Arabidopsis thaliana: one gene and its partners. The protein of the gene in region 3 interacts with the protein of the main gene of each other region in a pairwise test. Each region holds a gene or a part of one and is shown on either strand. Other genes may lie near its edges. The genes, in order: GRF6, AT1G19000 and AT5G27810.

Region 1 (3,435 bases), on a different chromosome or scaffold from region 3:
ATTTTAAGTAACATCGTTAATGTGCTTAGTGTTCTTTATGTTTTGCTTCCCGTCAATATTAAATAATCTTTACATGGAAATTAATCGGTCTCATATATAAAAGAGAAATTGAAGACGATTAAGATGCTATTAACTTTATTTATGAGTATGTATTATGTGAAACACCTTTTATTTATAACTTCAACATAATCGTTTCTAATCTTTCAAAAAAAACTGCCTAAATATTTTTAAATCGTTACGTCTCAAATATAGTCTTTTTAAATATAGTTAATTTATCAACCTTATATATTTTTGGATAAAAAACATGATTTATATGATCAATTTAGATGTATTTTTAGTATTAGAGGTTTTCCTAAGAAAATAAATCATGTTTTTATGAAGTGTAAGTTTCTGAGGTTTTTTCACAAACCCCCACCATCTGTTAATGCATTGGGTCTAACTTCATTTGATGACCGACTTCAAATGAATTATTTACATAGGCATGAACAAAATTTTAAATTTTGATAATTAAAATAATCTTTAACAAAGAAAAAAGATAATTAAAATAATCACAGTTTTTTTTCTTTTGAGAAATATAAAATAATTTAGAAAAATTCAAAAGAAAACAAAAATAAAAGAGGGAGAAAGAGATGTGGCATGAGTGATGGGTGTGTATGGGAGTGAGTGAGAGCTGTGAAAGGGAAGAGTCGCAGAGAGTGCAGAAGTTTTCAGAGTTTGCAGACTCACTCATTATTTTCCCTCTCTCTCTCTCAAACTTTTTTACTTCTATTCTCATAAATATTTTTTATTCAAAACAATTTATTATTCATGCATAGTGTTTTTAACACAAGTGGACCGTGTACACTTAATTTTATAAATGTCGAATGTGTTGGAGCTACGAGTACTACGAGTCGTCTATCTAACCAAAGATGTCACATTACACGATACGGTTTATTTGATTGAAGAACAAAAATAATGATTTGGTATAATTCAAAATTTATAAACTCATTACAATTGGACTTCTTTCATTTTATTTTCTAATACTATAATGAATGATTAAGAGAATGTTCTTTGTGGTTAGCTAAACCTTTATAACGATCTTTGTAATAGTTGCAATATGCTTACATGTTTCTTTTTTTATAGTTAAAACATTAAGAAGAATAGAAGAGGGACATAAATCCTCTCACTTGGCTATTTACTTACTATATTTAGGATCGAATATAAATGCTAAAAACATCTTAAATATTGTAGGGTTAAATTCAAGCTTCTTTCACAAATAAGTATTTTTTTTTTCTTATTTTTTCTTTCTCACATATACTAAAGTTTGAGATATAAGTTATATGACTCAAAAGATATCATAACAACCCAACATTAGAGCTGAAATTTTTAATGTCTTATTATTTTGTACACAACTTTACCTCTTAAGTTTCATGACTTGTTAGATTTTTTTTTTGTCAACCAAAAATAATTAGAACTTAATAGAGTCAATCCCGAAGGATATTGTTTACGTATACGTATGTAACTTGGTAGATTCTCTTTTCGGTTACCAAATTTTCTCGTTTTTCTAAACGCAAACAAAAGTTACAAACTCCTGAATATAATACGTAAATAAATTAAACATAAGTTATCTATGCCCCTTGTCACAAAATTTAGCTTTTAAGAAGGAAAAGAAAAACCTGAAATGGTGCTTAAGATAAAACCAAAACTAAAGCTGAAAAGAAAATTTTAAGAAATAAGAAAAAGGAATAATAAACAAGAAGAGGACATGAAGCACAGAGATTCTGCAGACTGCAGGTGACCAATGGACACTTTATCAATAAAAACATACCTACTACTCTCTTACACTTTCAATTTTCCAATACAAATCCCAATCTTTAATCTCTCTTTCTTCTTCATCTCTCTTTCTCTTTCTCTCTTCATGGCTACAAGGATTCCATTCACAGAATCACAATGGGAAGAACTTGAAAACCAAGCTCTTGTGTTCAAGTACTTAGCTGCAAATATGCCTGTTCCACCTCATCTTCTCTTCCTCATCAAAAGACCCTTTCTCTTCTCTTCTTCTTCTTCTTCATCTTCTTCTTCAAGCTTCTTCTCTCCCACTCTTTCTCCACACTGTAAGCACACTTTATCTTCTTTGCTTTGTGCTCTATGATGGTTATCCTTAGGGTTTGGTGATAATGTAAACGAATTTGACTCTTTTTTTTCAGTTGGGTGGAATGTGTATGAGATGGGAATGGGAAGAAAGATAGATGCAGAGCCAGGAAGATGTAGAAGAACTGATGGCAAGAAATGGAGATGCTCTAAAGAAGCTTACCCTGACTCTAAGTACTGTGAGAGACATATGCATAGAGGCAAGAACCGTTCTTCCTCAAGAAAGCCTCCTCCTACTCAATTCACTCCAAATCTCTTTCTCGACTCTTCTTCCAGGTTTCAAACACACCTTCCTCCTCTGTTTTACTCTAATGACAACACAATGATTGACTATTTTTTATCTTCAAAACATGTTTGAAAGTAGAAGAAGAAGAAGTGGATACATGGATGATTTCTTCTCCATAGAACCTTCCGGGTCAATCAAAAGCTGCTCTGGCTCAGCAATGGAAGATAATGATGATGGCTCATGTAGAGGCATCAACAACGAGGAGAAGCAGCCGGATCGACATTGCTTCATCCTTGGTACTGACTTGAGGACACGTGAGAGGCCATTGATGTTAGAGGAGAAGCTGAAACAAAGAGATCATGATAATGAAGAAGAGCAAGGAAGCAAGAGGTTTTATAGGTTTCTTGATGAATGGCCTTCTTCTAAATCTTCTGTTTCTACTTCACTCTTCATTTGATCATCTTTTGTTCTTATAACCTTGTATTTCTTGTTAAGATGGTAATGCAAATTCTCTCTTTTTTTGTCTAATTTAATTAGGAGTTTCTTTTTGTGATCCATGCATTATATTAGCATAAAAGATTTAACTTGTGTAAAGTAGTTATATTAGTTTGGTTTCAATGTTTAAATTGTTTCTGCTCATCTCTTGTCAATATTAGTGATAGTACGATGTCACTAAGTCATTGATTAGCAACAAATTTATCAATTCATGTTTCTGTAATTAATTATTTCTGATTCTTTTTGTCAGAAACTTGTTCATTAAACTATTTACTGTGGATAGTAAATAGTTTTTTTTTATAATTAAAACAGTAAATAATTTTTCTTAAAGGTTATGTTATAGAAAAAAATGATGAAGAAAATAAGAAAAGAGTAAAAAAAAGACAGGTTTTGCAATTGAGTTGAGTTGAGTTCTGCTCCCTGACTGAGTTTGGTCAGGTCTGAAAAAGCCACACACCCAATCAAAAGCTTTCTGCTCTGACTCAGTGAGAGAGAAAGACGACTTCTCTTATTCTCATCAAACTGAATTATTATTTCTTCACTCACACACATGAGTACATGACATAAAGCAAATTATACTTGTG
Region 2 (4,784 bases), on a different chromosome or scaffold from region 3:
AACTCCTTTAACTTCATCTTTGTTGTGTGCAACCAAGAAAAGGTAATGGTGTCTTTCATTCATAACCAATATATGTGCTTTTCCTTTTCTTTTTCTTTTCCACAAGAAAATGTTTGATTAATAATTAGAAGATTTTTATATCTTTCCTATCATGCAGCATGCATGTTGTTAAACCCCCATGCTTAAACTTCGATGGGATATGATCATGACACCACGTTAATTTTTAAGTTAAAAAAAAAAAAAACTAACAAGATAAAGCGTAAAAGTTTTAAGTCTCTAGTTTGTTTTAAATCACTAATTGCAACAACAAAACATTTTTACAATGGAATACTTCTAATGTTGAATGATTTGAGTTAAGACGACCAAAGATTAAGAAGATAAACCAGAGAGAGTCGATAGAGATAGAAAGGTTAAGTTCATGTGCTGAACCAAGATTATTGGAGAAGCTCATCATATACTCTTTTCTTTTTGTTAAACCGTGTTACATCATTAGCTAGACTCCAATTTTTTTTAAGTTTTATGATCATTGTGATTTGTAAAGAAATTTGTTATAGACATTGAACTTGTAATCTCTTATTTAATTTGCAAAAAACAATATTTAACCAACTGATCAACAACGGTCATTTAATCGTACAATATAATTCTTATAAAATATCATGTTTATTTGCGAACATATAAAGTCAACCCCGATCAGCAACAACCTTCTCCAAAATTTGTGTGAATTCAATTATTTCTTCACTATATTTGCAAGAATGTGGTTATACTATACTTTTGTGTGATATTTTCAATTAAAATAGAGTTTAGTGATATGATCCACATGACAATATCCCTTAAAACATGATTAGTCAGTCGAATTAATCGGTCATGTGTTTCACTAGTGGTGTGAATGTGAATCAATCAGTTTGTAAACTATGAGGAGATTCATACGTTAATCATGCTTGTAACTTGTAAGGGATTATCATCATATCTGGTTTTAAAAGGACAATTTGCAAGGGAAATTAAAACTTTAAAAGGCTATTAATTGAAGGGGAAAAGGAAAAAAAGAAGAAGAGAATTGATGGATACATAAAATACTAGCTAGTATTTAAAGTGATGAGGATATCATGTGCTCCCATTGGCCCCATGTCTTCATCAAATATTTTGATGCCACAATTTGGAATATTCTTTTGATTAGTTTATCAATCATTTAATCCTAACCAGAAGTAATTTGTATTTCAATAAAAACAATGTTCTAAAAGGGATTTGGAGGATTAATTTAGATTAAAGCGAAGGATGAAATAAAGAGTACTAACAGATTGAGATTATCAAGGTAACTTTTTGGTTGCTTGTGTGATTCGTTACAAGCTAGCTAAAATAAGATAATGGTTTTTATATAAAGGTAATCAGGTTGGATGTAATCGGGAATCGCACTAAGTAAGTTGACCAGATTCGTTTAACACTAACATTACATTATAAAACACACTTATAATACCATCTTATACAGTTTAATTATGAACTACCATTCAAAAATCACATTTCATCTTCATGCGCATGACACACCATACTTCCTTTACCAACTTTTTTTTTCTCATTTCTATATTCAAATCATCAATAAGAAAATCACACTAGAAACCATTTTTTTTACGTGAGAGAAGGACGTCGAGACACATTCACTTTGCTTGAACAAAAAAAAACACATTTAATTAAAATGACAAAAATAATGAATAGAGAGAGAGACATTATCAGAATATATCCAAAGAAAATAACTCATTAATTAATAAATCCAAATGGAAGAAATGATAAATATAGAGAGACAAGCAGGTCACAGAGGAAACGAGTGACGAACAAATCATAAATAAACACGTGTCATGTTATCGTAATAACACACAACAGAGTAAGTAATGCCACGTGGCTTATCGAGTTTTTATAAAGACAAGACAGAAGAAGTAGCTCAGATCCACTCACACCTCGTCTCCTAATCTGTACGGTTCTTATTTCGAAAGGGTAAAAACCAAAAGCGACGCAAAGGGCAAAATCGGAAAAAGTGTTTTATTTATGGCCGCCGTTAGTAGTTCGTCGGAGACCGGAGACTGCGGCGTTACGGGAAAGAGAGATGAGATCATGTTGTTCGGAGTTAGAGTCGTGGTTGATCCGATGAGAAAGTGTGTGAGTTTGAACAATCTCTCTGATTATGAAAAGTCTTCTCCGGAGGATGAGATCCCTAAGATAGTCACCGCCGGAGCTGGAGATGGTGAAGATAAGAACGAAACGGATGCGACGGTGATTGTCGCTGACGGTTACGCCTCCGCCAATGACGCTGTCCAGATTTCGTCTTCTTCCGGCGGGAGGAAACGAGGTACTACTCTTTTTCTGATTCTGATAAGAGCTTAGGATTCTGATTGATTGTATTATTAGAATGTCTCTAATTTGAATCTTATCCAATTCGTGATTGAATCTATGCATGTTGGAATTTATGTCGGTGATTGATTGGTTTTGAGCTATGGATTCGTTGTCGTTGATTATTGTTTGTTTGTGTTGAACAAAACAGGGGTTCCATGGACAGAGAACGAGCATAAGAGGTTCTTGATTGGGTTGCAGAAAGTAGGAAAAGGAGATTGGAAAGGAATATCAAGAAACTTTGTGAAGAGTAGGACTCCTACTCAAGTAGCTAGTCATGCTCAGAAATACTTCCTCCGACGAACCAACCTCAACCGTCGCCGAAGAAGATCTAGCCTTTTTGATATCACTACTGAGACGGTAAATCTCTACTCTTATCCTAAATCATTTTATGTTAGCTAAATCATATGTGAATGAAAAGGTCTAGACTTTAGCTTAGTTGATAGAACTTAACTTTCTTACTTTCTTTGGTGTTCTCTGCTTTCTCAAAGCTCTTTCCTTTCTTAGGTTTTTAGTATTTCTTCTTTAGAACTTAAAGACAAAGTAATATGGAGAAGTATCATAATGATTTTTGGTCTAATTGGGTATATATCTTTTAAGTTGTAGTTTATAAACAATAATGGTAAGTGTGTGACAGTTAGGTGTGATTGGTTTGATCAGGTTACAGAAATGGCCATGGAGCAAGATCCTACTCAGGAGAACTCACCACTACCTGAAACCAACATCAGCTCTGGACAGCAAGCGATGCAAGTTTTTACTGACGTGCCGACAAAAACTGAGAATGCACCAGAGACATTTCATCTCAACGATCCATATCTGGTTCCAGTAACCTTCCAAGCAAAGCCAACATTCAATCTAAACACAGATGCTGCTCCACTTTCTCTCAACCTTTGTCTGGCATCCTCATTTAATCTTAACGAGCAACCCAACTCAAGACACTCGGCTTTCACGATGATGCCAAGCTTCAGCGATGGAGATAGCAATAGCAGCATCATCAGAGTTGCTTAGAGCTTAAACCCAAGGTGAATCTACAAGACCTTGTTTCTTTCTTTGTTTCTCTGTTGTTGTAGTACTAGTAGTACATATTAGGTATAAACAGATAAGAAAAAAGAACCCTATTAAGTCTCAGTCCTGTTTTTGATCTTTCTTTAGGCCTTACTTTGTCAAACTTTTATGTATTTTGTCTGAAAATATAATCAGGGGAAAAAAAAAACAGAACAAAAACAGAGGAAGGCTATAGAGATTGATGGACAAACTGTGTCTAGGGTGCTTCATCATCTTTGTTTGTTTGTAAAACTCTTGTCACACACACTGTTATGAGTCATTTTCTGCTGTGTGTGTTTTGTTTTGTGGTGATGTAAGTTAAAAACAAGCGTGATTCTCATGTGGCCCATCTCAATCAATGGTTGGTGATTTGTGGGGTTTTTAGGCTTTTCTATTATCTTATCTTTTGGGGATAAGATAAAAGCCTAAAACTGTATGTAACTATGTATGGTTCTTCGAATATTTTATCATTTATCTCTAATGTCATAATAATGTTGCCAATTTCATATGCCACTTCGACTTTTGTGGATTTTTTTTTTTCTCTTTCCCTAGCAAACACCATTTTTCCCTATAGTACATGACAATCCAAAAAACAGAGTAAATTTTAAAGAAAAAGAATCTAATTTTGTCAATTTTACTTGTCTGCGATTAGCCGTTATTTCAGGTATTATTGGTCAAATTAATTCTTTTCCCAATCCAAATATAGAGGACTAGATAATAAAGCTAATAACCTCTGTTTTTTTTGGGTTCCTTTTCCTGTTACCATTTCAATCTTCATGTAACCCTTTTAAGATAATTTTCTTCTTCCTGTTAATTTATCTGAAGTTTGCTTCTTATCTTCGTGATCGCTTTTTGCAATCACAATAATGTCTAACCGTTCCTTCAAGAATTTCATAGAAGAAGAACTTGGAACATTCCCACAGTTCTTAATCTACGCTCTTCTTGAATGGATCCTCATCATTATCCTCTTCATCGATGGCTTCCTCGCTTTCTTCTCTAACCAAATCGCTAAATTCTTTGACCTCAAAATCCCCTGTCTTCTCTGCACTAGACTCGACCATGTTCTTGTCAGCAGAAACCCTGATTTCTATTACAACGACTCGATATGCGATGCTCACAAGAAGAATGTCTCATCTCTCGCTTACTGTCATGTGCACAAGAAACTCTCTGAGATCAAACGTATGTGTGAAGGATGTCTTCTCTCTTTCGCTACCGAGAAAGAAACAGATGTTGATACTTACAAGTCTCTTATTGGAATCTTGCATAAGGATCTTGAGCTTCTTATCGACGATGAACGTGAGCTTCAATTGGCGTTTCCGGTTGCGGGTTCGAAGAAAGATGAAAACTTCTATCAGGTTGAGAAC
Region 3 (2,999 bases):
AAATTGCCTTATGCTTACTCCCACAAATAAGAGATCGTTGTTAGCACTTAAGGGTCAAATTCCACTAAGCTCTCGTTGTTAACACAATAAACTTATGATGACTAATATTAAGCTAGACAAAGTAGATGAACCTAAAAGACAATAAAACAGTAAATTGAGTTGTAGGTTCACAAGACTTTTAAAATGGTTCACATAATATTAAAGGGTTTACAAGAGTTTTTAAAAGAATTTTAAATGGTTTACAATATGTTAGGTACATTAACATTTCAGTGTATATTATTGATTATATATTATATAATATTTGTACTTAACACTTTAAACGAAAATATTTTCTTTTTTAAAATGTGAGCTGTCATATTTTATATTTGAAAGAAAAAATATAAAATCTCAACAGTTCTAAAATTGAAAAGAAACCTTAAATCTAATCTGCTCAAAATGTTATTAAAGAATTAATAAAGGTAAGACATATGTTGAAAAACAACACATAAACGGAAAAATGAAACAATAAAAATAAGAGTATCACAAATCTCTAAATTTAAAAACAACATATCATTGTGAAAATAGAATGAAAAATATCACCATCATCAAACTGATAACAATAAAAACATAAATTGTGATGCAATCTATTACATGACAAAAAAACTGAAAGCTAATTATAAATTCACTTATCAATCCATTCTCGAAATTATTGTAATACCACATTAAATAAAATCCTAACGAAACCATTTATTATTGGAAATACTTAGAACAAGAACTATGTACGATATCGCTTGAGTTGCCGACATCAAGAGCGATGGAAGATTCTCCAGGGATATGATGTTGGTGCTCTTGTTGATGACGGTGGATGTGGTTGTGTTGGCTATCATCCATGAATTGAAACGCCATTTGCTCTCCTGGATACTTCATTTGCTCAAGATGGTTCATCATTTTCATAAACCATTGTTGTTGATTCTGATTGTGATTCTGATTTAAGCATCTCCATGTTTCCAATTAAGCATCGAAACATGACTTCAGTCATCTCGAGCTCCTTATTGTCCTTTCTTTGTCTCCTCAAATTCTCTGTCGGTTTCGCGATCCTTTGTTTGAGAAAACCTTCTTGATCTACCATCTTTTTGTGTTGATCCATTTCCGGGAGTGTCCTAAATTCGGAAACCACTCTTTGCACACCAGAATTTGATGGCCACACTTCATGACTGGTATCATACGGACTGTAGATGATCGCACACGATGTGATGCCACATAGAGTTGAGAGTTCATGTACTTTCTTCATCAACCCCTTCTTTCTTTTTTGAAAGTTGCTTTTCTTGAAGAATCGTTGGAAATGAAAGCAAGTTTCATTTTATTTCTCGTCATTAAAATGTTTTTTTGTATATTTTGAGATTGTTAATGTGTAGTATTATGTAGTACTGAGAAGGTACAAATATTTGTTATATAGGGTATCTTTATTTTAATACAAGAAAATATAAACTTCCAAATCAAGCTTTAATGCATGAACATTATAAAAAAAATCTGAATGGATTGAAGATAGAGATTATAACCGTTTTTCTTATTTACTACATGTATTATCACTACTGATTGACATATGTAGAACTATAGTCCAAATATTTATAGAGTGGTAACATCAAAACAATAAAATAGGATAAAATGTTTAGCTAGCAAATTTAGTTTTTAACAGCAAAAATCATCAATAAATATCAATCTGGTAATGTTATTTAAACATGATGCAACTAATATAATTATTTAATAATATATATAATTTTCAAATATTGTGATGATTAATAAGATATGGTATTAAAAGGTAGTCAAAGATTTGTTTCAAAATATTTTTGTGATTATTTCCCTTGCTGGAGACATTGAATCTCGGTTGTTGACTGGTAAATTAATCATGAACTATTTACCATATAGATAATTCTTTAAGAAATCAGTTTTTAAATCTCTTGATTTTATATATATATTAAAAATAGGTTAGCAAAATTACAATACCCATCGTAAAGTTTAAAAACTTCATAAGTAAAGGCATGTAAAACTAAACTACATTTCTTAAATGAAAAAAAAAAGTATAACGAGGGTGGTAAGTTGAAGGATAAAATGTTAACGAAAAAAGAATAAAATTTAGAAGAGACATGATGAGAAAAAAAAAATTGTATCCAACTTGTGATGTTATCAGAAGATTACAAGATCGCAGTCTAGCAAAATGTATATAAAACTATATTTAAACTCGCGGTATATCGGGGGAACAATTTATTTTTTAAATTAATATATATATTGTAAATTGTATCTATTTATAAAATATTTTTATTTTATAGTTTATAATTATTATTACGTAACGTCCTGCCAAACCCGTCCCGCCAACCTGTCCTGTAAAGAAAACTCATTTATTTTATTAATGTTGACCTTATTTATGATATGTTTATGAATTATTGTCTAAATATTTTGTAATTTTGTAGTAATTACATGCTATCAAATATCTCTGCGATTTGATGATTATAATCATGCAGAAAAGCAACATCAAAAATGATAATTTTGTAGTAATTAAATGATATTAAATATTTTGAAAGTTTTATTTTAGTAATTAATCGTGTAGTTAAGGTAGAAAGATTTTAAGAAGATTGTTAAATGTCAAATATTTAATTAGAAGATTTTCTTTCTAATTATCTAAAATAATTATTAAATGTCAGTGGCAGCCACTGTAAATAAATCCCAACTCCAGGATTTATTTTACAAAGTGGCTGCAAAAATGTATATGTAGATAATTAGAATAAACTAAGTGGTGAATGGTGTATATTATAAAGAACTTATAAATTGTTATGCAATTTAGTAAAATATTTACACAATATTTGGTGATGGTTTTTTACCCATTTTTCCTATAATTTGTGAAAGAAAAAAACAAAAAATGTTATGATATTCAATGTATAAGTTATTAATGGGACCGAATTGGCCTTGCCAGCATATTTGATTATTTTCTAGTCCTGAGATTTTGGCTAAACCGGGTTGTTCGG

What was found.
Region 1: the proteins of AT5G27810 (region 3) and GRF6 interact in a two-hybrid assay, tested with the Arabidopsis thaliana proteins (one large-scale study listed by BioGRID).
Region 2: the proteins of AT5G27810 (region 3) and AT1G19000 interact in a two-hybrid assay, tested with the Arabidopsis thaliana proteins (one large-scale study listed by BioGRID).

The regions. Positions count from the first base shown.
Region 1 is NC_003071.7:2,424,443-2,427,877, forward strand, and holds GRF6 (growth-regulating factor 6), read left to right. Parts: upstream 1-1,733; 5' UTR 1,734-1,780; coding exon 1,781-2,093; exon of another isoform or gene 2,094-2,186; coding exon 2,187-2,406; intron 2,407-2,494; coding exon 2,495-2,813; 3' UTR 2,814-2,881; downstream 2,882-3,435.
Region 2 is NC_003070.9:6,559,935-6,564,718, reverse strand, and holds AT1G19000 (Homeodomain-like superfamily protein), read left to right. Parts: upstream 1-1,927; 5' UTR 1,928-2,034; coding exon 2,035-2,335; intron 2,336-2,527; coding exon 2,528-2,736; intron 2,737-3,036; coding exon 3,037-3,384; 3' UTR 3,385-4,228; downstream 4,229-4,784. Other genes in the region: AT1G18990 (myosin-binding protein, putative (Protein of unknown function, DUF593)), read left to right, coding at 4,287-4,784.
Region 3 is NC_003076.8:9,854,098-9,857,096, reverse strand, and holds AT5G27810 (MADS-box transcription factor family protein), read right to left. Parts: upstream 1,427-2,999; 5' UTR 1,271-1,426; coding exon 911-1,270; 3' UTR 639-910; downstream 1-638.